Mus musculus: one gene and its partners. The protein of the gene in region 7 interacts with the protein of the main gene of each other region in a pairwise test. Links are inferred from orthologs where the notes say so. Each region holds a gene or a part of one and is shown on either strand. Other genes may lie near its edges.

The links.
Region 1: the proteins of CK137956 (region 7) and Cdkn2d interact in binary tests that used the Homo sapiens proteins (3 or more experiments, as listed by UniProt). The two-hybrid records come from large-scale screens. The link is inferred for Mus musculus from reciprocal best matches to the Homo sapiens genes C1orf94 and CDKN2D.
Region 2: the proteins of CK137956 (region 7) and Plekhb2 interact in binary tests that used the Homo sapiens proteins (3 or more experiments, as listed by UniProt). The two-hybrid records come from large-scale screens. The link is inferred for Mus musculus from reciprocal best matches to the Homo sapiens genes C1orf94 and PLEKHB2.
Region 3: the proteins of CK137956 (region 7) and Hnrnpf interact in binary tests that used the Homo sapiens proteins (3 or more experiments, as listed by UniProt). The two-hybrid records come from large-scale screens. The link is inferred for Mus musculus from reciprocal best matches to the Homo sapiens genes C1orf94 and HNRNPF.
Region 4: the proteins of CK137956 (region 7) and Rbfox1 interact in binary tests that used the Homo sapiens proteins (3 or more experiments, as listed by UniProt). The link is inferred for Mus musculus from reciprocal best matches to the Homo sapiens genes C1orf94 and RBFOX1.
Region 5: the proteins of CK137956 (region 7) and Rbm47 interact in binary tests that used the Homo sapiens proteins (3 or more experiments, as listed by UniProt). The two-hybrid records come from large-scale screens. The link is inferred for Mus musculus from reciprocal best matches to the Homo sapiens genes C1orf94 and RBM47.
Region 6: the proteins of CK137956 (region 7) and Rad51d interact in binary tests that used the Homo sapiens proteins (3 or more experiments, as listed by UniProt). The two-hybrid records come from large-scale screens. The link is inferred for Mus musculus from reciprocal best matches to the Homo sapiens genes C1orf94 and RAD51D.

Annotation. Positions count from the first base shown.
Region 1 is NC_000075.6:21,288,410-21,292,667, reverse strand, and holds Cdkn2d (cyclin-dependent kinase 4 inhibitor D), read left to right. Parts: upstream 1-1,458; 5' UTR 1,459-1,718; coding exon 1,719-1,859; intron 1,860-3,335; coding exon 3,336-3,695; 3' UTR 3,696-4,205; downstream 4,206-4,258. UniProt on the Homo sapiens protein: Interacts strongly with CDK4 and CDK6 and inhibits them.
Region 2 is NC_000067.6:34,859,959-34,863,458, reverse strand, and holds part of Plekhb2 (pleckstrin homology domain-containing family B member 2), read right to left. Parts: intron 1,587-3,500; 5' UTR 1,579-1,586; coding exon 1,542-1,578; intron 454-1,541; coding exon 301-453; intron 1-300. UniProt on the Homo sapiens protein: Involved in retrograde transport of recycling endosomes.
Region 3 is NC_000072.6:117,905,412-117,909,581, reverse strand, and holds the start of Hnrnpf (heterogeneous nuclear ribonucleoprotein F), read right to left. Parts: upstream 2,801-4,170; 5' UTR 2,743-2,800; exon of another isoform or gene 2,473-2,742; coding exon of another isoform or gene 1,741-2,472; exon of another isoform or gene 1,664-1,740; intron 1,479-1,663; coding exon of another isoform or gene 1,377-1,478; intron 1-1,376. Other genes in the region: uncharacterized protein 4933440N22Rik, read left to right, coding at 1,377-1,478, 1,741-2,472.
Region 4 is NC_000082.6:7,408,835-7,412,980, reverse strand, and holds the end of Rbfox1 (RNA binding protein fox-1 homolog 1), read right to left. Parts: exon of another isoform or gene 3,291-4,146; coding exon 3,168-3,290; 3' UTR 501-3,167; downstream 1-500. UniProt on the Homo sapiens protein: RNA-binding protein that regulates alternative splicing events by binding to 5'-UGCAUGU-3' elements. Regulates alternative splicing of tissue-specific exons and of differentially spliced exons during erythropoiesis.
Region 5 is NC_000071.6:66,149,155-66,153,256, forward strand, and holds the start of Rbm47 (RNA-binding protein 47), read right to left. Parts: upstream 2,801-4,102; 5' UTR 2,701-2,800; exon of another isoform or gene 2,548-2,700; 5' UTR 2,385-2,547; intron 2,320-2,384; exon of another isoform or gene 1,850-2,319; intron 1,825-1,849; exon of another isoform or gene 1,362-1,824; intron 1-1,361. UniProt on the Homo sapiens protein: Single-stranded RNA-binding protein that functions in a variety of RNA processes, including alternative splicing, RNA stabilization, and RNA editing. Functions as an enzyme-substrate adapter for the cytidine deaminase APOBEC1.
Region 6 is NC_000077.6:82,887,825-82,891,999, forward strand, and holds the start of Rad51d (DNA repair protein RAD51 homolog 4), read right to left. Parts: upstream 2,801-4,175; 5' UTR 2,596-2,800; coding exon 2,514-2,595; intron 2,208-2,513; coding exon 2,146-2,207; intron 1,987-2,145; coding exon 1,868-1,986; exon of another isoform or gene 1,845-1,867; intron 1-1,844. UniProt on the Homo sapiens protein: Involved in the homologous recombination repair (HRR) pathway of double-stranded DNA breaks arising during DNA replication or induced by DNA-damaging agents. Bind to single-stranded DNA (ssDNA) and has DNA-dependent ATPase activity.
Region 7 is NC_000070.6:127,950,342-127,953,841, forward strand, and holds part of CK137956 (uncharacterized protein C1orf94 homolog), read right to left. Parts: intron 1,294-3,500; coding exon 605-1,293; intron 1-604.

The DNA of each region.
Region 1 (4,258 bases), on a different chromosome or scaffold from region 7:
AATGAGATGGCTCACCAGTTAAGAGCACTGGCTTCTTGCTCCTCCAAAGGACCTGGGTTTAATTCCCAGCACCCACATGGCAGCTCAGTTCTAGATTCGGCACCCTCACACAGACATGCATGCAGGCAAAACAGCAATGCACATAAAAAATAAAAAGGAGTCAGGCAGTAGTGGGGCACGCCTTTAATACTATGCACTTGGGAGGCAAAGGCAGGCAGGTGAAGAACAGTCTGGCCTACATAGGGAGTTCTAGGACAGCCAGAATTACATACTAAGACCCTATCTTGAAAAACGTAGAAAAATCTAAAAGAGAATTATTACAATATGTGGCTATTTGATTGTCTATATGTGCACCATGTTGGTATAGGTCAGAAGAGGGTGTTGGATCTCTGAAGCTGGAGTTACTGATGGCTAAACTGTCACATGGTTGCTGATATTGAATCCTAAATCTTCTACAAAAGCATTGATCCATCTTTCAGGTTCTATAAATAAATAAATAAATAAATAAATAAATAAATAAATAAGTAAATAAATTAAAGGAGACCATCTTGGTAGCCCATTCCTTTAATCCCAGCACGAATGGCAGAGGAGGCAGGTGGATTTTGAGTTCAAACAGATCAAATAAGTTTCAGGCCAGCCAAGGCTACACAGAGAGACCCTGCCGCAGAAACATAAAAACAAACAAAAGTCGGGCGGTGGTGGCCTTTAATCCCAGCATTTGGGAGGCAGAGGCAGGCGGATTTTTGAGTTCGAGGCCAGCCTGGTCTACAGAGTGAGTTCCAGGACAGCCGGGGATACACAGAGAAACCCTGTCTCGAAAAAACCAAAACCAGCCAACCAAACAAAAATGTTAGAAGGCACCGCGCTTTACCACTCAGAAGCCGTTCCTTTAACCCAGCAGTCGAATGAATGAACTAAGCTCCGAGTTTCACAGTAAGAGCTTGCTTATTAGCATTTCCGCGGTCCGTGAATGACTAAAATGTTCCAGTTATAGGAGTTTCCAGTCCTGCCTCCCTTCCTCCCGGAGGCGCTAAAGATCCAAGATGGGCCCGCGCCAGCCTGTCTCCAGCCTCTCCGCTGGGGTCAGTTAAACCTCCTCCTCTTTCCCGCCCGCCCGCCGGTTTTGAAAAACCAAAATTCCTGCTGTGGCGGGCAGCTCCACTGGTCGCTGCACGCTGACCAATCAGGAGCCACGCCACTGCTACGGGAGAGACAAACCTCCCCAGCAACGCGTGCTGATTGGCTGTTATTCCCAGCAGGCGGGACTAATGGAGGTCGGGCTCTGGGCAAAGTGGCTCTCGCTACTCTGTTGCGAGTTTGTAAGAAAACAAGGGCGCTCTGGGCGGGGCCTGGGGCGGGCTTGCCTCGCCCACTAGCGGCTGACTCTGGCGGCCAGTACAGTGCCGGCTCAGAGCAGACCCCGCCCGCGCAAGGAAAGGAGGGAGGGTGAGTCTGGGGAGACCCGGCCCAAGGGGCGGGCGCCGAAGGGCTGGGCGGGGTTCCCCGCTGCCTCTCTCGGTGACAGGGGGAGGAGCTAGCTGCGAGCGCTGGGGTCGTACGGGCGGAGGGCGCAGGCTCTGAGGCCGGCAAATGATCATAGAGTTGGCCCTGGTGGCACCGCAGTCCCTAGAGTTCTGATCCAGCTCTTGCTGGTTCCCCAGCCCTGACCTTAACTGGGCTTGGGGCTGGGTGGGTTTCACAGTCCACCGGTATCCACTATGCTTCTGGAAGAAGTCTGCGTCGGCGACCGGTTGAGTGGCGCAGCGGCCCGTGGCGACGTGCAAGAGGTCCGCCGCCTTCTTCACCGGGAGCTGGTGCATCCTGACGCCCTGAACCGCTTTGGCAAGACGGCCTTGCAGGTGAGGCCTGGCTGGCACCCGGCCCCCACACCCCATCCCTACAAGTCTCCTGACCCGGGTTGGTGATCCCTTAAGGTTTAGTCCTTGCTTGCTCTGATGTTGGGTGGGTGGTGAGGATGCGATGGGGGAGGGGATGGCTTTTCAGCTCTTGTCTAATAGCCTGACAGATTCAGTTTCCCTGCAGACCTTTATTCTGTGGGTTCATCTTCTTTTCGTGCCAGTCCTTGAGGACAGCTCATATTTCTTGAGGCTCCTTAAAGATATTCGATCTCTGGAAGATGGCATGCATGTCTTCTCCAAGGGAGATAGCCTTTTTTTTTTTTTTTTTTGAGGTGCCCTCTTGAAGGATCTCTGGTTATTTCAGGGACATCTTCATTTCGGCAGGTGATGTAGATTTTTTCCCCTTTTGTATCTTCTGCGTGCCTAGTAACAAAAACGATTCCTTATTGCTTGAAGGTCCCGTAATTTGGGTGGCATTTATAGGAGAGTCCCACCTTTTCATGGGTACTCATACATTCTGAAGATCATGCCTATGTCTAAGGAAGTTATTTCTCGACAAAGGGGATCCAAATTGTCTAGAGCATCTCTTTCTCAAAAATTCTATGTAGTTCCCAGATTGTAGTGTTGAAGGGGCTTTACAGCCCTAATGATATGGGACTGCTCTGGCCTCAAAGAGGCTTTAGACGCCTTCCTGGTTCTCTCTCTCTCTCTCTCTCTTCAAGACAGGGTTTTTCAGTGTAGCCCTGGCTGTCCTGAAACTCACTCTGTAGACCAGGCTGGCCTTGAACACAGAAATCTGCCTGCCTCTGCCTCCCGAGTGCTGGGATTAAAGGCGTGCGCCACCACTGCCTGGCCCGGTTCCCTTTCTCATCCATTCTCTTTACTTCTCTTGCTTCTTCATTTTCTTTTTTTATTTCTGAGACAAAGTCTCACTTTGCATCTCAGACTGGCCTTGAACTTGAGACTGTCCTCCTGCCTGAGCCTCTGAGGTCCTGGGATTATGAAAGCGTCACTATGCCTGGCTTTTTAATGTTTTCATGAGAGTCACTTTTATAGTTAGGGCTTTTTGTTGTTGTGTTGTTGTTCTTAAGAGAACTTTGGGCTACACAGTAGTGACACAAATTAATCCAGCACTTAATCTTTAATCCCAGCACTTGGGAGGCAGATGCAGGTGGATCTCTGAGAATTTGAGACCAACCTGGTCTACAGAGAGAATTCCAGGACATCCAGAAAGACATCCTGTCTCCGACAAGGATGGGGGTGGGGCTTAGAAGGTGTGTGTGTGGGGGTGTCCTTATTTTCAAAGAACCTGTTCTCTGGGGTCCCAGTCTGATCCCTTGGGTCCTGACTTTCCTGGGGGCGTCCCCATTCCCTAAGGATCCCTTCTCTGTGCTCTGGATTTGTGGTAGACCTCTTTATTCTACCTGACCCTTCTCCAATGGGAACCTCCTGACTTTCTCCTCCCCACCCCCATAGGTCATGATGTTTGGAAGTCCAGCAGTTGCTTTGGAGCTCCTGAAGCAAGGTGCCAGCCCCAATGTCCAAGATGCCTCCGGTACTAGTCCTGTGCATGATGCGGCTCGCACCGGGTTCCTGGACACCCTGAAGGTTCTGGTGGAGCATGGTGCTGATGTCAATGCCCTGGACAGCACTGGGTCGCTCCCCATCCATCTGGCGATAAGAGAGGGCCATAGCTCCGTGGTCAGCTTCCTAGCTCCTGAATCTGATCTCCACCACAGGGACGCTTCCGGTCTCACTCCCCTGGAGTTGGCTCGGCAGAGAGGGGCTCAGAACCTCATGGACATTCTGCAGGGGCACATGATGATCCCAATGTGACCCAAGGCCACTGTCTCCAGCCTTACTGGGTTACTTGTCAACAAAAGAGGAAAGAAACTTTCTCTTTTCACACCTGTCCATTGAAGAAGGGAGTGGGAGGAGCAGTTTGTGGTTTATTGGTGTTGATTTCTTGAGTGTGTGTGTTTGGGGGGTGTTTCTCATTTGTTTTTCTCACCCCTTTTGGTGTGTTGGACAAAGAAGGGGCTCCTACAGGCAACAGCCATCTAAACGGTTCAGTTTCCTCTGCACTGGGGCTGCACCAGGGCAGGGGTTTAAAGCCCTAGCCTCAGAGTGAGGTCATCACTTCCCGGGCCCCTTGGAAGCTGGTGACCTTGGCAGGCTGTGCTCAGAGAGCCCTGAAGTGTGAGCCATCTACTTTGGGCATGTGAGGGGGAAGGGAAAGCATTTCAAATCAATTAAAAGGATAACATGAGTTCATTTTTCTTTCTTGGAAGGTTTCCAGTCTGTTGTACAGAGTTTGAAATATAAATATTTATTGCTTTATGGAAAGAAATTGTTTTGTGTGATTATTTTATGTTTTGGCCCATTAAACTAAGACAGCG
Region 2 (3,500 bases), on a different chromosome or scaffold from region 7:
GGCAGAATGGAGGAGTAATCTGTGGGTTGACTTTTTGTCTGTTTTGGTTTTGGTTTTTCCTCCTTATGCATTCTTAGACCTAACAACCCAGGAGTGAAGAGCAAGACTGTACATCACTGCACGGGAAACAGCCCGGGACCTAACTCCAGTGTGGGGAAGGGCGCAAGATCTATTTATCGTGATGTTCAGGATCTGAACGCCCAAGCCCCACTGTGGCTGCCCTGTCTGGACAGTGTCCAGTTGGACAGTGGGAGCAGACTCATTAAGGAAGGTGGGGTGGTGGTCCTGGGCACAGCTTACCCCGGCACTCATGCCCCGTGCGGATATTGATGCAGTCCACGGGCATGTGGACCTTATCCTCTATGCTCTGCCGAGTCTGATCATCGTAGTAGATCAGGTGACCGTCTGACCACAGGTCGAACCAATTCTTCTTCCAGCGTTTCAGAATGGTGCCTGGGGGACACACAGAGAGAGTTGGCTTTGGGTTACAATGACAAAGGCTGTTGCCCGTGCGCAGCAGGCACAGAAGAAACCATCTACCAGCCTAGAATCAATGGAAGCAATCCACCGAGCTGGCAGTATAAACAGTCAGGGCCTGTACCCCTCCAAGGGAGCACAGAGGAAGAGAGAGGGGAACACATGTGAAAGCCAAAGGGAGAAGAGCCCTGCCATCTGGATACAATCTTGCCACTGTACTCAGGAGCTCCCCAGCTGTGGACACCCGCACAAGGCCCACACAAGATCAGGCCTTGCAACACTCCATCACAGATAGGAAAACAATACTGACAAATAATAACTTCAAAAAAAAATCTCACCTTCCAAGACCATGACAGTGCTTGAGGAAAAACCAGAAGCCAGCCAAAGGACTGGCAAGGGACTTGTCCTTGGGTCTGAGCAAGATGCCTCATCAACCCTATCCACATAAAACTCAAGAGAAGGTGGCCCTGGCGTCTGGGGCTACCTTCCGAGACACCAGGTAAGGCCATTCTTATCACTCTAGGCTAAGACTACCCACAGACCTAGGGAGCGGAGCACAGCATAGCTCCCGGTGGGGAAGAAGTAGCCGGCTCTCCCTGCTCACCAGCTCATTATTCCAGTGGCAGCCTAGGAAACGAACAGCCAGTTCACGGTAGCCATGTCCGGGAGTCATGCTCAAGAACTGAGTTTTCTCTGGAGACAAAGATTTGCTAAACTCGTGCACCCACCAAGGCAGGTCTCCCCACTGACCCTTCTCGGGCTCCAGATAGGACATGCCATTTCCTACACACACAGGCCAAAGACCAGGAAGCCAAGCGTGCTCAGACCCAGCCACCTCAATAAATACCCCGTTAGTAATAAAGCACGGGGGCGGGGGGGGGGGGCAGAGCCCTCCCTGCTTCCTGGTTCCTATTAGCTCCATGGTTTCTATTAGCTCCATGGTTTCTTGAGGACCGTCACAGAGCCCTAAAGATTCCCAGAGGAGATGCACGGCAACAGTAGTAACCAGACGTGACCATTGGCAGACATGATCTGTTTTAGGGTTCTCAGATGTCTCTACTCACTCTGCCGAAGTAACCATCCACTCTTCACGAACGCCATCTCTCCAGCTGCAGGAGAGAGAGCAGACAGGGTCAGGATCAAGAGTCAGGAAAAGAACGGTTCATCTGGCTCTTTTCAACCCCTCCCCTCTCCCCTCTTCCCTCCCCACTCTTCCCTTCTCCCCTTCTCCCCTCTCCCCTCTCCTGAGGGAGCTGAGGAACAACCCAAAGCCGTGTGACCTCACACTACCTGATATTTATCAAAGCCTTCTCCACGGGTCTATACCACCCACCCTTCCTCCCACCTCCTGAGTCCCAACAGGCTCAGGGCAGCTCCAGAAATACTAAGGCTTGACTCCGCTACGGACTTGAGCCTTCTCACGACACATCCAAGTGTCCTAAAGACCTGGAGTCCAGCTGCCTCGGCCCAACGCTGATATGTTCCACAGACTCACAAGTCTAGTCATCCCTCACTGTTATCAGATGAGTAGCTAGTTCAAGGCAGAAAACCTTGGGCCTTCAAGAAAAACACTGAGAGATTTAATTCCATAAAATAGATGACCCAATCCTTCCTGCTTCTCAGAGGCCCCAGGTGTTGTTCTGGGTGGCAGTTTACGACCACCTGGAACTCCAGTTTCAGGGGATCTGACCCCCTCTTCTCTCCTCCACAGCCACTGCATGCACATGGTGCACTTAAAACACACACACACACACACACACACACACAACAAAACACTCATACAGCTAAAATGAAAACAAAAACTAAAAACCGCCCTGGGCCAGTGAGGTTTAGTAACAGGTAATGGCAATTCCTAGCACCCACACGCCAGAGGAAAACTGACTCCGAGGAGTTGTTCTCTAACCCCCAACATGTGCACCACAGCACAAGTGTGTCCCTCCACAGTAATAATAGGCATAACTTTAAAAACAAAGGATATCTGTATAGGTGAAGGAGTGTCAAAAGACTAATGACAAATGAGGAAGACCATTAACAGATGGCAGCAATGACGTCTCACACACACACACACACACTCTCTCTCTCTCTCTCTCTCTCTCACACACACACACACACACACACACACACACACACACACACACACAGAGCCATAAAACAAACAAGAACAAACTCTTAAAATACCCAGTTTGGGTCAGGAAGAGGGTTCAGTAGGCAACAGGGCCTGCGGCAAAGCCTGAAGTCAGTAGTATGATCTCTAAGACACAGAGGGAGGCAAGAGAAATCCAACTCCCTCAGGTTGTCCTCTGACCTTGGCATGCATGTCAGGGTGTGTGTGTGCACATACACGATCAATCATCAATCAATCTGTAAATTTAAATGTAAATTAGATATAAAAAATTAAAGAAGATAGTCAGTTCCTTCTCAACTCAGAAGACAAAACTCAGATGCAGAGTTCGCAGTTTTCCCCATCGGCCTGGCAAACTTCAATGCCTAGCCAGGAGGAAGTGTTGCAGTGTAGAAGGCCTGGCAGGATAAAGAGATTCCAAAATGACTTGGAGTCCCTCCCTTTGGCCATCAGACTGTGAAACAAGACACCATGCGGAATTGAGATTTTCCCAGGGATCTCATTCTGGAAAGGACAGGCCGATGCCTGGTAGAGCCAGAAGGGGAACTACTCTGGAAAGAGAATCTCCACGGTCTGACAGCGAATCAGACCACCCTGAGACTGGTCAGTGCCGGCTGAGACAACCCCTTGACCAGGAAAGCTATGCATATGTCTAGTCCTCTACTTAAACCTAAACTTCACGTTGGGACGGAGAAGACAGCCTGGTGGGAGTTGGAGGCTGTGATTGGATCTCTTCATCTCTCTTTTTCAAAGTAGCACACAATCACAAGCTGAATCCACAAAACCAGCCTCCATCTTTTTTTCCAAGAGATTGTGAACAGAGACATACCCACCCACCGCTACTGGCTGCCATCTTGTGACGGGATGGGGGAGGAGCTCAAAGGCAGCTGACCCTGAAGAC
Region 3 (4,170 bases), on a different chromosome or scaffold from region 7:
ACAGAGAACTGAAATTTTTTTGGTAAGCAAATGGTCAGTAGTTTTATTTCGGCATTTACTAAAGTCTTAAATATAATCACATATAAAACAAACATTTCAGAGTTCCAGGACAGCCAGGGCTACAAAGAGAACCCTGTCTTGAAAATCCAAAAAGAACAAAATAACCCCCCCCCCAAACAAAACCAAACATCTCAAAAGTACAAAATACAGCCAGGCGTGGTAGTGTACACCTTTAATCCCAGCAATTGGGAGGCAGAGGTGGGCGGATTTCTGACTTCCAGGCCAGCCTGATCTAGAAAGTGAGTTCCAGGACAGCCACAGCCAGGGCTATACAGAGAAACCGTGTCTCGAAAAACAAAAGAAAGCTGTTACACACACACACACCCCCTTGTATTAGCTGTGCTTCGTGATACATGCCTTTAATGCCAGCAATTCACAGCACTATGGAAGCAAAAGTAGGTGTGTTGCTTGAGTTTGAAGCCAGCCTTATCTAAATATACAGTAATTTTGCGCCAAGGCGTAATATAATAGTTAGACCCTACCTCAAGAAACAAGTAATCACTTTTGCATTTACTTTTAGATCCAGTGTGCCCAGGCCTTCCTTCAAATCAAACCATGAATCTTTTTTAAAAATTACTACAAAAACGGGCATAATACAGACAGAATGGGGCTGACAAAGCGTGCCTAAAGCCTGCCATGCCCAGTAACTACTAATGGGGTGTGGTCGAGTTAGTACTCCAATCTAGAGGTGGAGCTGAGTGATCTGGAATTCAAGGTCATCCTCTGTGGCTACATAATGATTTGTAACTTAAAAAAAAAAAAAAAGGCTGGTAAGACTAATGGCAACACGAGGGAGATAAGAAAAGCAGAAAGTTCAAAATTTAAGTCAGGATTTGGTCTGTAAGACTGTTCTCAACTGAGATCTACCTCCGAGCGCTGAGCGCAAAAGCATGCATAGCCACCCGGCGTACTCAAAAGTACTTCGACATTGTTCAATGGGCTAACGCACTTTTTGCCAGACCTTAGCTACCTGCGCTCAGTCTGAATACACAGATGGAAGAACTGAACCACGTTTTGACCTCCACTCCGCAGCACGAAGGGAAGAAAGACTTAAGTATTAACTATTTCCAGATATCGTCTGTCTTGTTCAACTAGAAGAATTAAATATTTAAACCACCCCCTGGACAGAGCGATAGATCATTGTGACAGGGACCCTCAATTCAATCCCAAGGACCCAGTGCTGGAAAAATCCATTTCTTCACCTTATCCCCTCACCTCCACGCACAAATAAACATTAAAGGAAACCGACTAAAATAAGCCCAAAAGTTCCGTAAACAAAACTGCCCAGGTTCAGGAGACCGATCCCGCACAGCCACATGGCGGCCACCCGCGCTCGCTCGCCCGCTTACTCCGCAGCCCGACTTGCAGGTAGGAAAGAGGCCCATTTGTTTGTTCCCGGACTGGCAGGGGCAGAAAAGGTCGCTGGGTGGGAGTCTTAGGGCACATGGGGCTGCCTCTCCGATCCCGCCGGGTCGGGAAGGCTCCGGAGAGCACGCGCCGAGGGAAGGCCGAGCGGGCCCACCTCAACTTTTCCCAGACACGTGAGGCTCCACAAACACAGCACAAAAGTGCTCGTAACTGCGGCTAAGGCCGACTAACCCACCTAGGCAAAGACTCCGCACCCCACACGCTAACACGATACCTCTGGGGGACGGGACCGGCGCAGACCGGTGCTCCTAGCTCCCGGGCCGCCACGAGGAGGAAGCGAGGCGCTCGGCTTCGCTCGGGCCGGGCGTGGGCGGTGGGCGGAGCCGTCCCGCCCAGTCTTGTGAAACTCCGGGCGCCTCGGGCCACGTGAGCGCCCGCTCGTCTTTCTCCAAACTACAACCACCGCCCGGGCCTGCCGGGGGGCCGCTGACAGAGCGTAAGCCGCGGTGGGTGAGAAGCGCTCCACCCTCACCCCCCCCCCCAATATCCCGCCGAGGAAGCCGCGCCTGCGGGCGGGGTGGGGGGGCGGCTCTGAGGAAAGCCGCGCTTTCTCCGGGCGGGCGTGGGCCGCGGCTGCGGTCTCCCAGGCCCTCCGCACACCTCAGCCCAGAGGCCCGGCCCTACCGACCGGACTCCAGCCCTCAGTCCCCGCTCCCCCGACCGCACACCTCGGCCACGCGGCCCAATCCCCGTCGAAAATGCGCTGAACTTCGGCTCCCGACCCCAAACCCCGGCCACGCGGTCCCCAGCTCCGTGGGCAGCCTCCGCACGGCTATGGCTGTGCGGCGGCCACCTCGGCCCCGTTCCTTCCGAGTCCGGATCCCACGCCCGCCATCCAACGCCCGCCGGGCCCAGGCGCCAGCACACCCCGCCGGCGGCCCTCACCTCCGGCTTCTCGGCTCCACGCTCCCACTCACATCCGGACCTCGCCGGCCCTCAGAGCACCTAGAGGAGGGTGGAACCCCGGGGACTTGGCAGTTGTAGCTGAGGCAGTTGAGGCTTGTTTACTGTCACCATGGAAACCCCCACAGGCGCGCTCGCGGGACGGCCTCAGCGGGGCGAGTCAACCGCGCGGCCGGCCTGCTCCTCAACTCCCGCCTGCCGAGCGCCAGCGGCGCCTCCGGAAGCCCTCCTGATCCCCGGTCCGCTCCCCGCTCGGCCCACGCCCCGAGCACCCGGAAACAGTAGCCCGGGGAGCCCACTTTCCCTTCCCACAGCCGGCGTGACCGCGGGCTGGCCTTCCCCGAACCCCACCTTCAGGAAGACGAGGCGCAGTCCTCCTTCCACGACGGAGCCGGAAGGATGCAAGACGGTGATGGGGCGGAGCCTCAGGCAGCGGACATCCGGGCACAGGGCAGCCGCGGCGCCATTCTGACGAGCCCAGAACGGAGCCTAGGATTGGCCGGGGGAGGGAGAGGGGCGGGACTAGAGAGCTGTGGACCCGCCTCTGAGTCCCGGAGAGGACAGTGACGGCGCAGGCGCAAACATTGCGGGGGGGGGGTAGCAGGGGGAGGGGGCGGGCAAACGAGGGGGGGGGGGGAGACAGCAAGGTGGAGGGGGTTGTCCATAAAGAGACCTGTGGGCTGGTGAGTCGGTGGACGCTGAATTCTGCACGCGTGTCTCCGCATCCCGAAAAGTGATCCCAAAGGAATCAATGACCGCATGCGTGCGGAAAACTAGAATGGTGTCTTATGTAAAAGAAAGACCGCCTAAGGGCATCTCAGGCAGTCCGGAGGGATTTGTCTGAAGTTTCTAACTCTCAGCACTATGTGAACGCTGGGACAGATTTTCTTGATGTGTAATAATTTGGGAGGATTCTCTGCGAGATGTCGAGATACAAGCTAAAGTGAAGATTATTTTTGAAGCTTCCAGAGCCGCCTAGGCGGGCGTAGGAACACGAGCTGGTTCCTACGAACTCCATTTCTGCATGGAGGCGGCCGAGGCTACAATGCATGGTCGCGAGCTGCTGTCTATATAAACACTGGAGAAATTACAAGGCCGTTCAGAATAATCTCTGGTTATAAGTGAACTACAGTGATGAAGGAAACGTTTATAAAACAACACACCAGACTAACTCCAGAAAAAGGAAAGAAAACTTTGAGAGGAAAACCTGTCCAAGAAGAAAAATAGAAGTCAAATGATAGAAAACAGATGCTACAAAAGTTAGATAAGTATTCGTGAGCACTAAACCCAGAGCCTTGTAGTTGGCAAATTACATCCCCCACCTCTGATGTTTGTTTGTTTGTTTGCCCAGGGAGTGGGGCATTAAAATTGTTAAGTTCGTGCGAGTTATCACCACACTTTCAACTGAAGTCAGAGGACAATCCTGAGTGTTCTCTCCTTCCACCATGTGGGGTCCTGATCAAACTCAAGGTTGAAAGGCCTGTGCAGCAAGTTCTGCTGAGACCTCTCACCCTGCTCCTTGGGTGGTTTTATTTATTTTTAAAGTTCCTTACTATTGCCAGAGAAAGGTGCAAGTGACTTCTAACCTTGAAGAAGCCAGAGAGCAACTTTTCACAAGTATTTTCATTTCCCTTAGGTGAGTTCCAGGGGTCAAATTGAAGTTCCCAGATTTTTACAGCCAGAGGTTTCACTTTTGAGCTCCCTCTGTCTGACTGCAACCCAGGCTGGCTTCCAACTCTTGTTTTGTTTTGTATTGTTTCTTTTGGTTCCCCACACCCC
Region 4 (4,146 bases), on a different chromosome or scaffold from region 7:
GTGTTGCTGCAAGCAACATTGTGGTGGTTTGAACAGGAATGGCGTTCATAGACTCTTGTGTTTGAATGCTTGGCCCACAGGGAACTATTAGGCCTTATTTGGTTAGGTGTGGCCTTGTTGGAGGTGGGCTTTGAGGTCTCATATGCTCAAGCTAGGCCTAGTGTGACAGTCTCTTTCTGAGGCCTGTGGATCAAAATGTAGAACTCTCAGCTCCTTCTCCAGCACCTTGTCTGGTATCTTGCTGCTGTTTCCTACCATAATGAAAATGGATTGAACCTCCAAAACTGTAAGCCAGCTTCAAGGAAATAGTTTCTTTTATAAGAGTTGTTGTAGTCATGATGTCTCTCCACAGTAATAGAAACCCTACCTAAGACACATGTTATAGAAATGATTGTGCAGTGTGTGTGTGTGTGTGTGTGTGTGCACGCACACACGTGTGTAAAATAGACCCCATAAAGAAATCCACAGAGGCAGAAGAACTCAGAACACCAACTTACAGGTACCTTTTCAGACTAAGCTTTTATTTTTTTGATATTACAAACCAGTTTTCTTTATTCACAAACCACTGTAAGTGATATAAACACTAATTTCTAAAGACAGATATACACATTTTCTGGGTTTGCAGATTGAGTGATGTGTGTTAAGAAGTCACTATATGCCACATTAATCTTTTTTTCCATAATTCATAATAGCAATAGTTATTTAGATAAATGAAAACATTCCAAATAAATACTGTTGTTTTAAAAAATCCAAAATGTTTGTTTACACCTCTGACATGACAGTTTAAAACGACTTATCGGCAGCTCAGTGGAGTGCCTAGACAAAAGGTTCTGCGACACCGATTGGCACCCACTTGCTCTAAATGATTTTTATTAAAACTACATACGATCGTAGGGGAAAGTACAGTTCATTGATGGAAATCAAAACCGCAAATGAGTTTTACTTTAGCCAGCACAGTAAGAATTCCATGTTTGTGATTTCATACACAATGCAGGTTCTGGGCTTGAAAATCTGGGGCGACTGGGAGGAGTCTGTTGATCTTTTTGCAGCCCCCTTTTCTATTACTATCTTGACCCCATCTGGGGTTGAATGCTACAGCATCATGATAAATTGTTGCCTTGGATAACATCAACCAGGTGCACGCTGTAGCAGGCCAGGGAAGTGGGAACGTGATGTTGTCAAATGGTTCCCTCTGGACCTGTCTCTCCCTACTCAAAGAAAGGGGTCTGGTGAAAGAAGAACAGTTTCTCTTCTCACCAGTTCAGCAGTTTCTCTCCCTTCCCCTCCTCGCCCTTTGCTTTTCTTTCTCTCCCAAACCATGATCACCTGTCTTAGATATCGAAGCTACAAAAACTTTGTTTTCAAATCTCATGAAACTTTATTGATGGTTTAATATCCAACCGATCTTACGGGCATGCACGTAGGATGACGAGGAAAAGCTGGATCACACACACTTTTTTTTTTCTTTTTAAAGTTTCGTTTGGTTTTGATTTTAAAGCAGAGTTGTTACAGCAGGTTGGCAGGTTCACAGCGTGAGTTGATAACTTACTAAAGTGCGTGCCGCGGGGCCGGCACCGCACACACAGGCAGCAACACTACTCAGGGAACAGCTTGCTGATATTTTAGAATTTAAATACAAAACAGGAAGACCCATGACAGATACCCCAACTTAGGTTAACTTGTAAACAGGACAACATGGGGGGGATTCAAACAGAAGAAAATCACAAGTTGCAATTTTTCGGCTGTGTTGCTCTGGCCCTGCTCCGAAAAAGGATGGGGCAGATCTTGTTCTTTGGGGGTGGAGGGGATAGTTCTAGTTCTTGTTTTTTGTCTTGTGTTTGCTTCCTTCTGACAATTGTTGGGCCTTGGTGATAGAAATAAAGATACCAGTTTATGATAACCCTGGGGCACTGGGGAGAGGGAAGGGCGGGCTCTCACAGACTGAAAAATTGCAAGTTGCTCACAGCGCAGTCATGTTTTCAAAAAGTATCAAGCTGATGAAAATACCATGATTATCTCTATTCAATGATTGCGATACTTGTAAAATGCGACTATAAATCCAGATATGATTATCATGTAATTCCATAAAAATTATACGTCTGTCTCTAACAGTTAATCTACTAAGCTAAACTAAAGCCTCAGAGACTGTTCTAGAACATAACTCCACTGCACAGATGTAAATTTTATACATATTTTTAACTGGTACAAAGAATTTAAGTTTTTATTACTTTCTTTTTTGGAAAAAAAGAAAAAAATAGAAACAGTGCTTTTTTTAATCACCTTTTTATTAATGTTAATTTTTCCCTCCCGTAATATAAAAGTCAGCAGTGATATCAATAATTTCTCATACTGGAAGAAATATAAAAAGAATGCTTACTGATGGCCTAACTAGTAGCCTTTGCTTAAATAACTAGTGGGTAGGTAAGAAGCTGAGTACTGCAGGTGGAATGATAAGAGGGTGGACTGGCCGACACAGCTTCCTTCCTTCAACTGCAATCTCCGTGCTATGAGAAGCGGATTCTTAACACAGCCTTTGGCTTGACTTTGCCAGGAGTAACTTAGAACCATAGATTTATGATAGTTGGTGCAGTGGGTCATTTAGATTCATCAGTTACTATATATATGTATATATATATATATATATATATTTTCTTTTTTTCCTTTCAGCCAAACCCCTAAGCCCGCCCCAGCCTCCCCTTTCACAGAATAAAATAATGTGGATGCAGAAAGAATGACTTGCCGTTTCCAGTCTTCCCAAACAGCTTAACCCCAGTAGCTTCATGTTCGGCATATAGAATTCATTTACATAATATAGCACTCTGGATATGGCCCTAAATCAGTTTTTATTCATATCTAGCCTCTCTCTAGATCAACCACAAAAACTCCTACAGCCAACTGAACTACAAAAACCTTCAGAAACCAAAGACCCACAATATTAAAATACACAGAACAAAATATCTGAGGTATAAGATAAAAAATGTAATTTTTCCTCTTTTTTTAATTTTTTTTTCTTTTTAGTTGTTTCTTTGAGTTGCTAACATGATGTCCTACTGCATGTGATGCAACACTCAGGCCTCGGAAAGCTTCCTCTCTCCCCACATTGGAAGGTTGGGTTTTTTTTGTTCGTTTGTTTGTTTATTTGTTTGTTTGTTTAATGGTTTTATCATTTAATATGGAGCAAAACGGTTGTATCCCCCTCGGTATATACTAGCCTGCAATGAAGAAAGAACGAGACCCACATCATCAGCATGGCTCCTAGTCTTGGCATCGGTCAAGGGCGCAAAAGCATTCTGAAACAAAGCAATTTGAGGGGTGTGGTTTTTTACATGTTGCCTTTTGTAACATGTGGATCATCAAAAAGACTAATGTAAAAAAAAATAGACACTCAAAACCAAGCAAATTAGAGGGCACCCCCTTCCCCATCCCAGACCTTGTCAGAAAGTTAATGGTGGTCACTCCTGACCTCCTCCTACAACTCCTTATGAAAAACAAAGACGAAAACCTAATAATCCCAGGAAACTGAATTGGATCAGCTGGTCTTACCTACCAGCTACGAGGCTTCCAGTTTTCAAATGGGAAAGTGGATGGATAGGAACCAGCTCATTTTACTGGTTTGTTTCTTTGATGAGTGGACTAATTGATATGATGTTGCACTGGGAGAAGCTCTGTGTATAGTCAAAGGTGGTTCTAGACAATGTATTGAATAAAGGGATCAGGATTCTTTTCCACCCCTTTCCTCAAGTGGCCTAGATCTTGGAGTAGTCTTGGTTGTTGGATGTCACGGTGAAATAAGAATAAAGGCCTGCTTCTAGCTTTGGCTAGGCAACTGACTGACTCTGATGCTGCAGTGGGGGTGGGGCAGGAGCTCTGCTGGGTGTGATTAAGCTTATGTAGAACAGCAGGCTCTTCTATGCCTGCTTGGGTTTCTATGACCCAGGGTGCAGGGAACTGCCTAGCAGTGGCTTCCTACCACACTTAAGCATTTCTCTTTGCTGCAATTATTGGCCATTCCAATGAATGCCCATGGGACTGAGTTTCAGGGAGAGGGCTAAGATTCTCAACTCAAGCAGAAGACTGCATGCCAAGGCGTTGTATTGATCGCATGTGCTCTCACACAATGGACATGTCTTACTGGACTCAAGAGTG
Region 5 (4,102 bases), on a different chromosome or scaffold from region 7:
CCCCTGCAGGTTGTTCCACCCTTTGTGTTCCTTAGTCTGACTCCACAGTAAGACTCTCACTTACCATTCAGTTACTATCTATCTATCTTGTGTGTTTGTTTGTTTTTTGTTTTGGCAAAGTCTCAGTGTGCAGCCCTTTGCTGGCCTGGAACTTGCCTTGTGGACCAGGCTGGCCTTGAACTCCTCCTCCCCTCCCTTTGGTTCCTCCTATCCTACCTTTCAAGGACTGGAGTTAAAGGTATGAGCCACCAAACCCAGCTTTCCAGTTGCCCTGGACCCTCCAATCCCCTGCTTTGGCCTTTTACTTGTAGATTAAAAGGCACGTTCCACCTTGCCTGACCTAAGCCTGAGTTTTTAATTAACTGATTGATTAATTAATTAATTAAGTCCATGGACGACTTAGAGGATTGTTTTCTCCTTCCACCACGGTGAGGGAAGGCTAGAACTCAGGTCCTCAAGTTTGGTGGCCAGCCACCTCAGCAGCTTGAAGAACAGTTTTGATTTGCAGTCCTCCTAAGGAAACTCCTAAGTGAGTCACTATCACACAAACCGGAGGGGAGAAAAGTTCGACTTTTAGCTCCCATAAGTAATGGAGAAAATAAAAGCAAGTCAAAAATAGCTTGTAAGTACCTAGAGAATATCTTTTCATCAGTTTGATAAGACTTAATAAGGAAGCCACATCCCTAAGTGCCTTAGGACAGTCTTAGAGTGTTGTCAACTTTTACCTAATTAAAACAGAGAGTCCTTTATCTGAAATTTTCCATTTCCATTCATTTTGACTGATTTCTTAGCCACCCAGTGACTGCAGGCATATCAGATGTTATATTTGGTAGACTCTACTCTTGTCTCCAGATTGAATTCTCCGCTGGAAACAACAACTAAGCTTCCCCGAGGGTGGCCTTCAGAGATAAATGTCTGCAGGAAGCCCCCCCCCCCCCCCCCCCCCCCGCTCTGCTCCAGTTAACACTCAAGCGAGACGCCCGTCACCAAAAACTCCGAAATCTCAAGCTAATAATCCGCATCTAGTCACCTGTGCCTCAAAAAAGACCAATTACGTTTTTTTCAACTATACACACACACACACACACACACACACACACACACACGGAAAAAGACTCAAGTCTGCAGGAAACAAGATGCGGCTGACCATAGGATTATCTGCTCTCCAAAAGCTGAAGCTTTAAAAAAAAAAATCTTTTTATAAACCCTTTAACTTCCCACTAAAGAAGGAAGACGATCAAATGAGAGATTAATACTAAGGGGGAAAGAAATAGAGAGAGAAAGATGTTGTTTGTTTGTTTTTTCCCAAAAGTCAGGACTCTATGGGGACAGTAGTCAGAACTGCCAAAAGTCCACCTTACCTTCCGTAAGTACTTGGCGTCGCTCACTTCAGAAATTAATACCATTCACAGCCCGGTAGCAATCTACAAGGCTAGGAAGTCACCTACAACATCTTCGCTGGCCGCACACTTTTAAATAGAAAACTAAATTAAAGAGTCTCCAAACTACTTCCCACCGTGCGGCTTAAAGCAACAGATCAGATCGCTCTAGGCTTTAACTCTTCCCGGGTTCTGGGAATTCCAGTTTGTCACAATTTCTTAGCCTGAGTGACCTGCGGTAAGAAACGTCTTCCCGGCCCAGAGCCTGGCTTCTCCGGGTCCGGGCGCTCGGCGGCCGGCTGGGCTGGGTCGTACGAGCCGGCTGCGGTGCGGCTGTGGCCCGGGCGGAGCGGCACAGGGTCGGATCCCGCGGAGCGCGGCGGAGTCCGGCTGCAATCGGTGCCTCTGCAATCCCTGCTCTTCCCGGTTCCCTCCCTCCGCCTCCTGCCCTCCCCCAGACGAGGCCATTCGCCTCACAGTAGCAAGGTTGTCTCGTATACTCCCTTCCCTTAAACTCACCAAACCAGATTTTTACTCCCAACACCGGCAACTTCCCGTAAATCTGCACTGAAATTTTATCCTGCTCGCTGAGCCTCCGCTGGCCGAAGGCCAGTGCAACATTCCTGTTGTTTTAGAAGCGCGGATACCTTAGCTGAAGGTTTAAAAAAAAAAAAAAATCATATCGGACTGGCCCCGATGCGGAGGATTTACGAACTTTGGCCGCTCAAAAAGTCACATCCATTTCAGACATTCAGAAGGGACCCCAGAAGTGGCACCTGCCCCACCTGGGGACATCTAGAAGAGTGGCTTCCGGCCGCCTATGGCTGTTTAGAGTAAGCCACCCTGAGCCTGCACCAAGGACTAAGGACCCTGCGCCTGACTCCCGGGGTGAGCAGTGCCACCGCCCCCGGCCTTGCGGGGCAGGAAGGCGCTGGAGCAGGTAGGGCGGCAGACGAGCCCCGCCGCGGGCCTGCAGGAAGCCAGGACCTCCTGGGCTGTTCTTACCTGAGGCTGAGCATAGCTCGGAGAGCACAGGCAGGCACGTCACGGGGGGCCGGAGCTCTGACCTTTGCCGGAGCCTTCACAGCAGGGCCTGGGGCCTGGGCGCCGCTGCTCGTTCAAAGTGGCTCATTCTGAATGCGCTCTGACCTAGTGTTACAGCTGGTTTCTAGAAAGGGAACAAAAACAGTGCAAGGAGAAACCTCAGCCAAGCCCTCCTTTAACCTTGCCTCTGATCACAGGGGAACTAAGTCTGACCCCCATCCCCACTCCCAGGAAACCCACCCTAGGGCCGCGGCCCCCGCCCCACCCCTCGGGTTACCTGTTTATACAAGAATTAAGGAGCCTCCCGCATTTCAATGGAGCGCTAAGCCTGTTTGCAGCGCGGAAACAGCCAACAGGAATCGAATTCTGTGACTAAACAAACTAGAAGAGGAAGCGGGCACCACAAGGAACCTAAAGTTGTGATTTCGGGTTGCAATGTCATGCAACTGAAAAAAAAAATACTGTTTCACAGTAGGCTACTTTAATTAAAAGAAGGACCCAAAACTACCCCCCCCATCTAGTTAAATGGAAGCTGATAGAATATCGGCATATAGCGTTAGCCACTGTTGTTAGTGATACTATTATTATGTATAATCCGCCCCCCCCCCGTAGAAAAACGTGCAATGGATGTTAGAAGGAGGCTCCAGACCCAACTCTGCCCTCACTATCTGTGAGCAAGTTAATTACCCTCCAGCTCTGAGTTTCTGGAAGATTCTAAGGATGGGAGTTTTGCTTTCACTGTGGACAGTTTCAAGGAGAAGGAAAGACGAAGTCTTTGTGAAGGGGTGTGCAACTGATTTTCGACTCGTGTACAAGTTTCAAGGGAAGTGGAGAGAAGTTGGCCCTGCCTTCCATGAAGTGCAAATCCAACGTCTGTGTCACGCGCGTAATTCTGACTCAGATTTAGGCACTAGACCTGACCTGCCACCCTGCAAGTTACTCCATAGGTTAAAAGTCAGTGCTAGCGGGGCGGTGGTGAGCACGCCTTTAATCCCAATCCCAGCACTTGGGAGGCAGAGGCAGGCAGATTTCTGATTTCGAGGCCAGCCTGGTCTACAGAGTGAGTTCCGGGACAGCCAGGGCTACACAGAGAAACCCTGTCTCAAAAAAAAAAAAAAAACAAAAACAAAAACAAAACAAAACAAAACAAAAACAAAAAGTCAGTGCTAGATAACAGTGAACCATGCAGTTTGAAGATCTGTGAATGTGGGGCGTGTGGGGTGTGGTGGAGGCTTTGAAAACTCATAGATATCATCCATAGTAATAGTGGAGGGTAGAGGGGGTATTTATGTTCCTTTTAACTTGACATATAAATGAAGAAATCCTAATCTCTTTATATTGAGGTCTTTCTTACTCAGGAACCCTTTCACCCATTTCCTTAATCTGATCCTCAGGTCTGCCTCAGGTCTGGAGGTGAAGACACTGTCCGTACAGAGGTTAGGTAAGCAGGCCAACTTTCCCGAGTGCCGACCTTTCCAGTCTAATCGAAAAGTCAGATCTTACCACCATTAGTAAAAGTAATTCCTGAAGCCAGCCAGGAATTCTGAAGTTCTCCATCCTTTTGATCTTCGATCTTTTATCTTTTAGGCAGCAAAAGTCAAGCCAGGCCAGTTTAACCATGTTCTGAATTCAGAATCAAGACTTTGTCGATAGGTGCACACATGTACTGAGAATCGCAG
Region 6 (4,175 bases), on a different chromosome or scaffold from region 7:
AGCTCTGGCTTGCAAGGCATAACTGATCCCTCCATCTACAGCGGTGTCTGCCCTGCAAAGATTTACGCTGCACCTCAGCACGCCAAGAAGGCCCACAGCAAAGGACCCTGTTTAACAGGTTTAATGCATGCTAATCACAAGTTTCACTAACCTTGCCTATAGCCTTACCTTCCCGGTTTCAAAGTTACATCCACTAGGTAGGCACAGCACACTGGAGGGAAATCTAAAACCATCTTTTTTTCCTTAAGATTTTTACGTAGGTATATGAGTACACTGTTGCTGTCTTCAGACACACCAGAAGAGGGCATCAGATCTCATTACAGATGGTTGTGAGCCACCATGTGGTTGCTGGGAATTGAACTCAGGACCTCTGGAAGGGCAGTCAGTGCTCTTAACCACTAGGCCAACTCTTCAGCCCAGCAAACCACCACCTTTGACTCTTCAAATTTACACCTGATCTCACAGTAAGTCTCTCTTCTCACATCTCTCCTTCAACATGTCTTCCGTGGTCACAAACCCTGGTTCAGACTTACACAACCCAAACCAGCAACACAAGATCCCTGTTTGGCCTCTCCTGGCTGGCTGGCCCGTCTGTCCTGCACAGCTATGCCCCATAGCCTACAAATGCTTTCACAGTGGCCTCTCACCTCCAAGTATACCTCGGAACAGTCAGCTGGAATTAAGTTAAAATCCTGAGCCCCACTCCTCCAGAGAGCATCTGCATGTGTCTGGCACCCAGTAGGCACTCAGCCAATGTTTGATGGATTACAAACACAGACCCCCAACCAGCGAGAGCAAGCACCAGACTGTGCGGACCTTGCCAAGAGAATGTGTTATGGAAACAGCAAGGGCCAGACCGATCCAAAGACCTCTGTGATGGCCGTGTTATTCATCAAGCTCCGCACAAATAGGCCGGGAGAGAGGTCAGACTCGCTTGGCCAGAAAATGCTAGCTGTCTTCCAATTCTTTCCCAACCCGAACAACAGGGCACAATGTAACTGCTCTTTTTGGAGTATGCCCGTTCCCCTCTGCTGCCTCAGATGGCAGAGACAACAGGTTCTGGATCAGATAACCCCGGGCTCACCTCTGCTGGCCCCTTTCTTAGGCTAACCACAAGGGAGGTCAATAACTTCTAACATCCATAACCTCGGGCAGCAGTTCTCAACCAGGGGTCACAACACAAGCCCTCCGACGACTGCACAACCCTTTCACAGGGGTGGCAGATCCGACTATATTGCTTTTAGAGATTTACACTATGATTTACAACAGTAGCAAAATTACAGTTATGAAGTAGCAAAGCAGTAATTTTATGGTTGGGGGGGGTCATCACAACAGGAGGAATTGTATTATAGGGTCACAGCACTGGGAAGGTTGAAAACCACTGGCCTATGTCAGCGCAAAAGTGCAGACTCCCGGGACCCCAATCCTTCCCCGGGTCTCACTTGCTACTTGCTTTATTTTGACGTATGGTGGACTCTACTAAACAATGGGGGTATTAACGACATCTTATGTTATAGGACAGTGGCTCTTCACTGGGAAAAGTTAGCTTGTTGGAGATACTGAGTCATTTTTTGATTATTAAAACTGGGGGCATCTTGGCATCTGGTGGGTAGAGAAGGACCAGGGATGCTGTTAAACGACTCTCAACGCACAGGATATCTCTATCTCAGGAAATAACGACTTGCCTCCCCCCCCCCCCCCCCCATCAATTGTGTTGAGGCTAAGAAACCCTACAGTTTTACTCTAGGGAAAAACACTCAGGAGTCCACACGCCTGCAGTTCCTCTACCGCTCTGGACTGCCCTCACCAGCCCCGTCCTCTGAAGCCTCAGTCTCTGCTTTCACCTTGTCCAGGTTCGCATACAAACCTTCCGATGCCGGTGGACAGGATGGCCGTGGAAGTCTTCAGTTCCTCATAGAGATCTGCGCCATTTAAGGGGAAAGCCGAGAACTGCGCCAGCAACACCCTCCTCAGGGCAACGAGGGCCTGCCAATAGGGCGGACACTCAGGCTCCAGGCCCGCCAGATTGCCCCCTCAGAGCAGCGCCCCCCCCCCCCCCCATCTATCCCAAGGAACTCTGATCCTGCAGCGTGGGGGCGCAGCTGGAAGAGGGGTTGGAATGGAGCTTGCAGATCGCGAGCTCACCTTGTAGGACAAGCCACACTTCTGGGCTACTTCCTCCAAGTCAGCAGCTGCCAGGTCTGCCACTGGAAAGAGAGCAGGTGCAGGTGATTGGCAGCAGGAATGGCTTAGCCTTGCCACATTTGCCTTTTGCTCTGTTGTCAAACGGGATTAAGGTCTTATTCTACTACCTATCTCGAGCACGCAGGCCCTGATGCAGGACCGACCCCGCAAAGGGCCCAGCACTCAGTAAAATCCTCTGCCTCGGCTCCTGCGAACCCAGCTTCCTCAGAAAGTCAGAGGAAGAGTGCGGCCATCCTGTTAGAGCAAAAGGCCCCGTATGTGTACCACGACCACGGTGCCGACCCCCGGGGTAGTGCCCATGAGGTCACCTGTTTTTATCTTTCGGCCTCTGAGAAGCTGGACGGTCTCCTCGGTGAGGCCCGGGCACAGCCCTGCCCTGAGCATGCCCATAGTCCCTACAAACCCAGGATGCCCTGGGGGCTCTCTGTCACTTGGGCGCTCGCCGAGTCCCCCACTCTGGGCATTCCTCAGTTCTACTTAGGGAAAAGGTCCTGGCGTGCCAGCGCGGGACGAAGGGGCGGGAAGAGGATGCAAGTCGAGGTGAGGGACACTAACCCTTCCCAACTCGCAAGACTCTAGGCGCCCTAGGCCCGCCCCCTCCGGCCGACGCTTCCGGGTTCCGGGACTGGAGCGTCTTTTGTAGGCCAGGCCTGCAGCGCCATCTGCTGACCATGAGGGCAAACACAGAGGCTTTGCGACTCGCGCCAGCCACCTGCAAGCACACCTAGAGCTTACATACATGCACAGAGACACAAGCACACACACCGACACACACACACACACACACACACACACACACACACACACACACACACACACACACACACACACACACACACACACACACACATTTTGTGTGTCCAGCGAGTCTTCCAACGAGTCTCTTGTGTATACCAGCCTCTATTTGCAAAGCTAGGGGACACTCACTCTACCTAACTCAATATTTACAGAGTGAAGCATCCCTGACTTCTAGTAGCATTCTTGTTAGGAAGACAATGAAAGTGGATCAATTCAGATCATTACAGATTGTATGATCAAGCTGAGATCCAGCGAAGTTCACAGAGAGTACCTGTGTCCCTATATTTTCCAAATTTATCAAGTTCTATCTTACGTATATAGATGTTTTGCCTGCATGGATGTCTATGCAATCCTGGCATGCCTGGTACCCAAGGCAGCCAGAGAGAGGGTCAGATCCCTTGGACTGGAGTTACAGATGGTTAAGAGCCACCATGTGGGTACTGGTCTTCTGGGAGAGCAGTCAGTGCTCTTAACCACTTAGCCATTTGTCTAGCCCAACATTTTCCAGAGGTTTTAATGGAAGTAGGGAAATGCTTGAGTATATAAAATACTATTTTGATTTTTTTAACCACATCTAGTGGAAGAAATAAAGCAGTTTTACAAAACCCACGAGTGAGGTTCTATTTCTGCCTGTATTTTGTAGTTGAAGGAATTTGGGCTCAGTAAGATTGTTATTCTTTGATTTATACAGATAGGAAGCACAGAACTGAATCTCCAGTCCATATCCAGCTGCAGGGCTCATTTTTAGAAATATCTCCTCATGTTCACCATTGTCTCTCAATCTTTCAAGGTGTTTGGAATCCTGGCCCTGAAACCAGCTACTCTGTGAGCTACAACCCACAGTAAGCTTTCACTGTGCCTGCGTTACTGGCTATGGTGGGATTTGCTGCTTAGATCCCAGGATAGAGAGCCTTAGAAGTATCAGTAGGCAAAGGCCTTCTCTTCAAAGTCTGGTTGGCTCAGGCCAAGTGGTGTTCTCTGTGCCACTAGCCTGCTACCCCTTCCTGGACAGCTCTAAAGAGGCACAGGCAATTAAGCCTTTTGAAGTCCTCAGAAGAGGACCGAGTAGTTGTGACCACAAACGTGACCTAGAGAGGGTCATGTGTGCTGGAAGGGGCCATCAAGTTTCTTTCTTGGCTCAAGCCCACCCCTAACCCAGGCGTTTGGTCTGT
Region 7 (3,500 bases):
ACATGAGTTTGAATTTCCCACATGTATATACAAAGCTGGCTGTGGTAGCACGTGTGTGTGATCCTGGTGCTGGGGAGGCAGGGTCAGCACTGCCAGAGTTCACGATCCAGTCACACTGGCTGAATTGGTGGGCTGCATGTTCAGTGAGTAGAAGACCCTATCTCAAGAAATAGGATGGGGGTGGGGCTAAAGAGATGGCTCAGCTGTTAAGAGCTCTTGGCTGCTCTTTTAGAGATCCTGAGTCAACCACACACATGGCAGCTCACAACCATCTGTAATGTATGTATGTGTATATGTGTGTGTGTGTGTATGTGTGTGTGTGTATGTGTATACACACACACACACACATATACACACATATGAAGAAGATGGAGAGCCACAGAGGAAGTCACCTGACATTACATCTGGCCTCCAGACATATACATGGGTGTATCTATCCACACATGAACATGTACACATTCATACACCACTTAGACACACACAACCAGAGAGCCTGCATTGTTTTGCTTAGCACAAAGACACACCATGGCCTCGATTCAGCTTCCTGATCAAGACTCTCTCCCTTGAAAACCCCCCTCACTTTCCTGTTCTCAACCCCACTCACCAATCCAGTGGTGGCCCTCAAGAGCAGCGTCAGCCTCAGTCTTGGAGCAGATCTTGGCAAACACCGGGAGCTGCCTCTTGGGAGGAGAGGACTCAGGGAGCTTGTCAGGGAGTGCAGGAGGAGGTGGGGGTGGCAGCAGCAGGAACGGACCCAGCCCCATGGGCTCCCGGGGTCCGGAGCCATTGAACATGCTATTCTGCAGGAAGTCCTTAATGACCTTGGTTTCTTCCAGCACCATCTTGTTGTCTGGGGCCTTGGACATTTCAGTTGCCTTCAGTGGGAACTGGGCCAGGAGCTTGCTGATCTCTGAATTAGAGGCACCCAGGCTATGGCCTTTGTCCTTAGTCCCCTTGACACTCTTGACCTTGGCCGAGCGCAGGATGCCGGTGACTGTAGACATGGCAGAATCCGAGTCCTGCCTGCTACCAATGATGGGCATGGACAGCTTCTGCTCCTGAATCTCGTCACCAGCCATTACGGAGGATCCTGCATACTCGGCGCTGTCTGCCCCAAGAGGAGGCACAAGAAAGCAGGGAGCCAGCTCCCTGGTCCCCTGGGGAGTAACAATGGGTGTTGCCAGCTCCCCAGAGCCCTCTTGGACCAAGATGAGATGTTCTTTAGTGAGGCTCAAGAACTCTTGCTCCACCAGCAGGGAGATCTCATCCTTGCCACCGCTCAGTTCCAAAGCTCTGCAAAAGGATCAGAGACACAGTAGTCAACATTGGACGACTCTGCCAGCAGCATCACCCACTAGGCCATTGTGATGAGAATATCTGTCCTTTCTCAGGAACAAACAACAGAGAGGGAGCTCACTGGGGAAATTTGCCCAGCAGCAAAGGGCTGGGCTGTGAGTAATCATTTCACAGAATGAGATGTGGAGCCTGAAGGAGTCCCCAGGAACACAGCACAGCCTCCCTATTGCAGGTCGGCCAAGTGTCCAGCGGGGCTCTCATCTGACTCTCTCACTTCTCATCTCTGCGACCCTGAGCAAGTTGTTCAGCATCTTGGGTCCTCTACTCTGATAACCTTGTGTGATGCCCGGGAATACCACCGAGGGGGGTTTGAACAGTGCAGACACTCTACCACAAGGGTCAGACACCTGTCCACTAGTGTGTCTGTGTGGCTCAGGCTCACAGTCTGACCAGACCCCGAATCCTAGATTCCACAGGGCGACCATCTGGATATCTGCATAGACCCTTGCCGGCATGGCCTCTTGTTTTTGTTTTAGTTGTGGGTGACAGTACCACTTGCCCAGACCCTGAACCAGTTCACAAGGCTCTCTCCCTGTGTCCCTGTCCCTCATCTCCATCATGGGTCAAGACTAACAATCTGATGGCCCTTGATGGGCCAATGAACTCCCAGCTCCTGGTTATTGGTTCTCCTCCAGTGAGGGAGAAGGTGGTGAGCCTGTCATCACCACTACCCCCAGCAACCCTGGTGAGGGACCCCCTCCCCCCACTGCATTCCCAAGGGAACCACAATGCCCCAGCTTAGAAGCATCAGCTATGCATACTCAAGGGTTCCAGGGAGGGGAGGATCTAGTTGCCTATGCCTGGAACATTCTGGAAACCTGCTTAGCTGACACTCAAGACACACAAAGAGGAAAGATAGTTAAGAGGCAGACAGGAAAAAAAAATGAAAGGGACGCCATGGGGCTTGGAGGCTGCAGCTTCATCGCGGCTAAACTCAGACATGGTCTGTTTGACAGTCTACTGGCCACCGCTAAGAAGGCACAAGAAATACCCAAAACAGTGTGCGTGGGGTTCCCTTACTTTCCTGATAGTGCTCTTTGCTTCTGAACACACACACACACACACACACACACACGCGCGCGCGCGCACACGTACACGAATGCACACATACGCGCACATTCCATGGTGCACACAGGTCTGCACGTAAACAGGCAGGTGTACAGTTCACTCAGAGTGGGGAAGAGCCTGCACTTAACAGTCCACAGAGGTAGGCCCGCTTCCCACTCTCTACTTCTCTTTCCCTCATACTCCTCTTTCCCTCTCCCTGGCCCTCTTGAATATTCCCTTCCTTTTGCCTCCTTTCCATGTCTAGACTTAGGGCTATAAATAGGCCCTACTCTCCCCACTGTGCCCCCAGGAACAATCAGAGTAAGGAGGACGGATGCCCTAAGTTTCAGATCCTTCTCCTCCCTTCAGGGGATCAGGTGAGTCCCAAGTCCCAGGAACAGGTCACTGGCAGAACCAGTTTTTGTTTTTCCCTACCTCCAGTCCCCTCCCCCACCCCCCACTCCACTGCCTTGCAAAGTCAGCTGCACGCCAACAGCTTTTCTGAATTAGCCTTACCCAAGGCTGCTTATAACATTGTGAGTGAGGCATTGTGGTCACACTAAAACAACAAAAGCAGCCTTTATCTCTCCGAGATACATGCTAAATATGTATAGATCAATTATGTCTGGGGTTTCCTTTAAAACTAATCCAGCTGAGGGAGGGAGAGGGTACAACAGATAAGATCCTCCGTACGCTGTCAATCACGAGAAAAGCAGGAAGCAGACACCTGGGGCCATCACGTTAGTCAGTCTCCCGGCATCTATATTTGGTTTCTGGGTTACACATTCACACACACGAGTCACTACAGAATCTTCAAAAGTGCCAGGTGGCAGGAAAGCAGCTTCTCCCACACACCCCCCCCAGTGTCTCTTTGTGTGTTTGTGCATGTGTGCATGTGTATGTGTGCACGGGTGCCTGGGGTGGGGATTTATGTGTGCTTATGTACATGTTGAAGCCAGAGGTCAACTTCAGGTATCTTTCTCAGGAACACTGCCCAGAGTCTCTCACTGGCCTGGAGTCCCCAAATCAGTTTAGATTGGTTGACCAGTGAGCCTCCAGAACCCCCCATCTCAACCTCCCTAGGGATGGTCTTATAA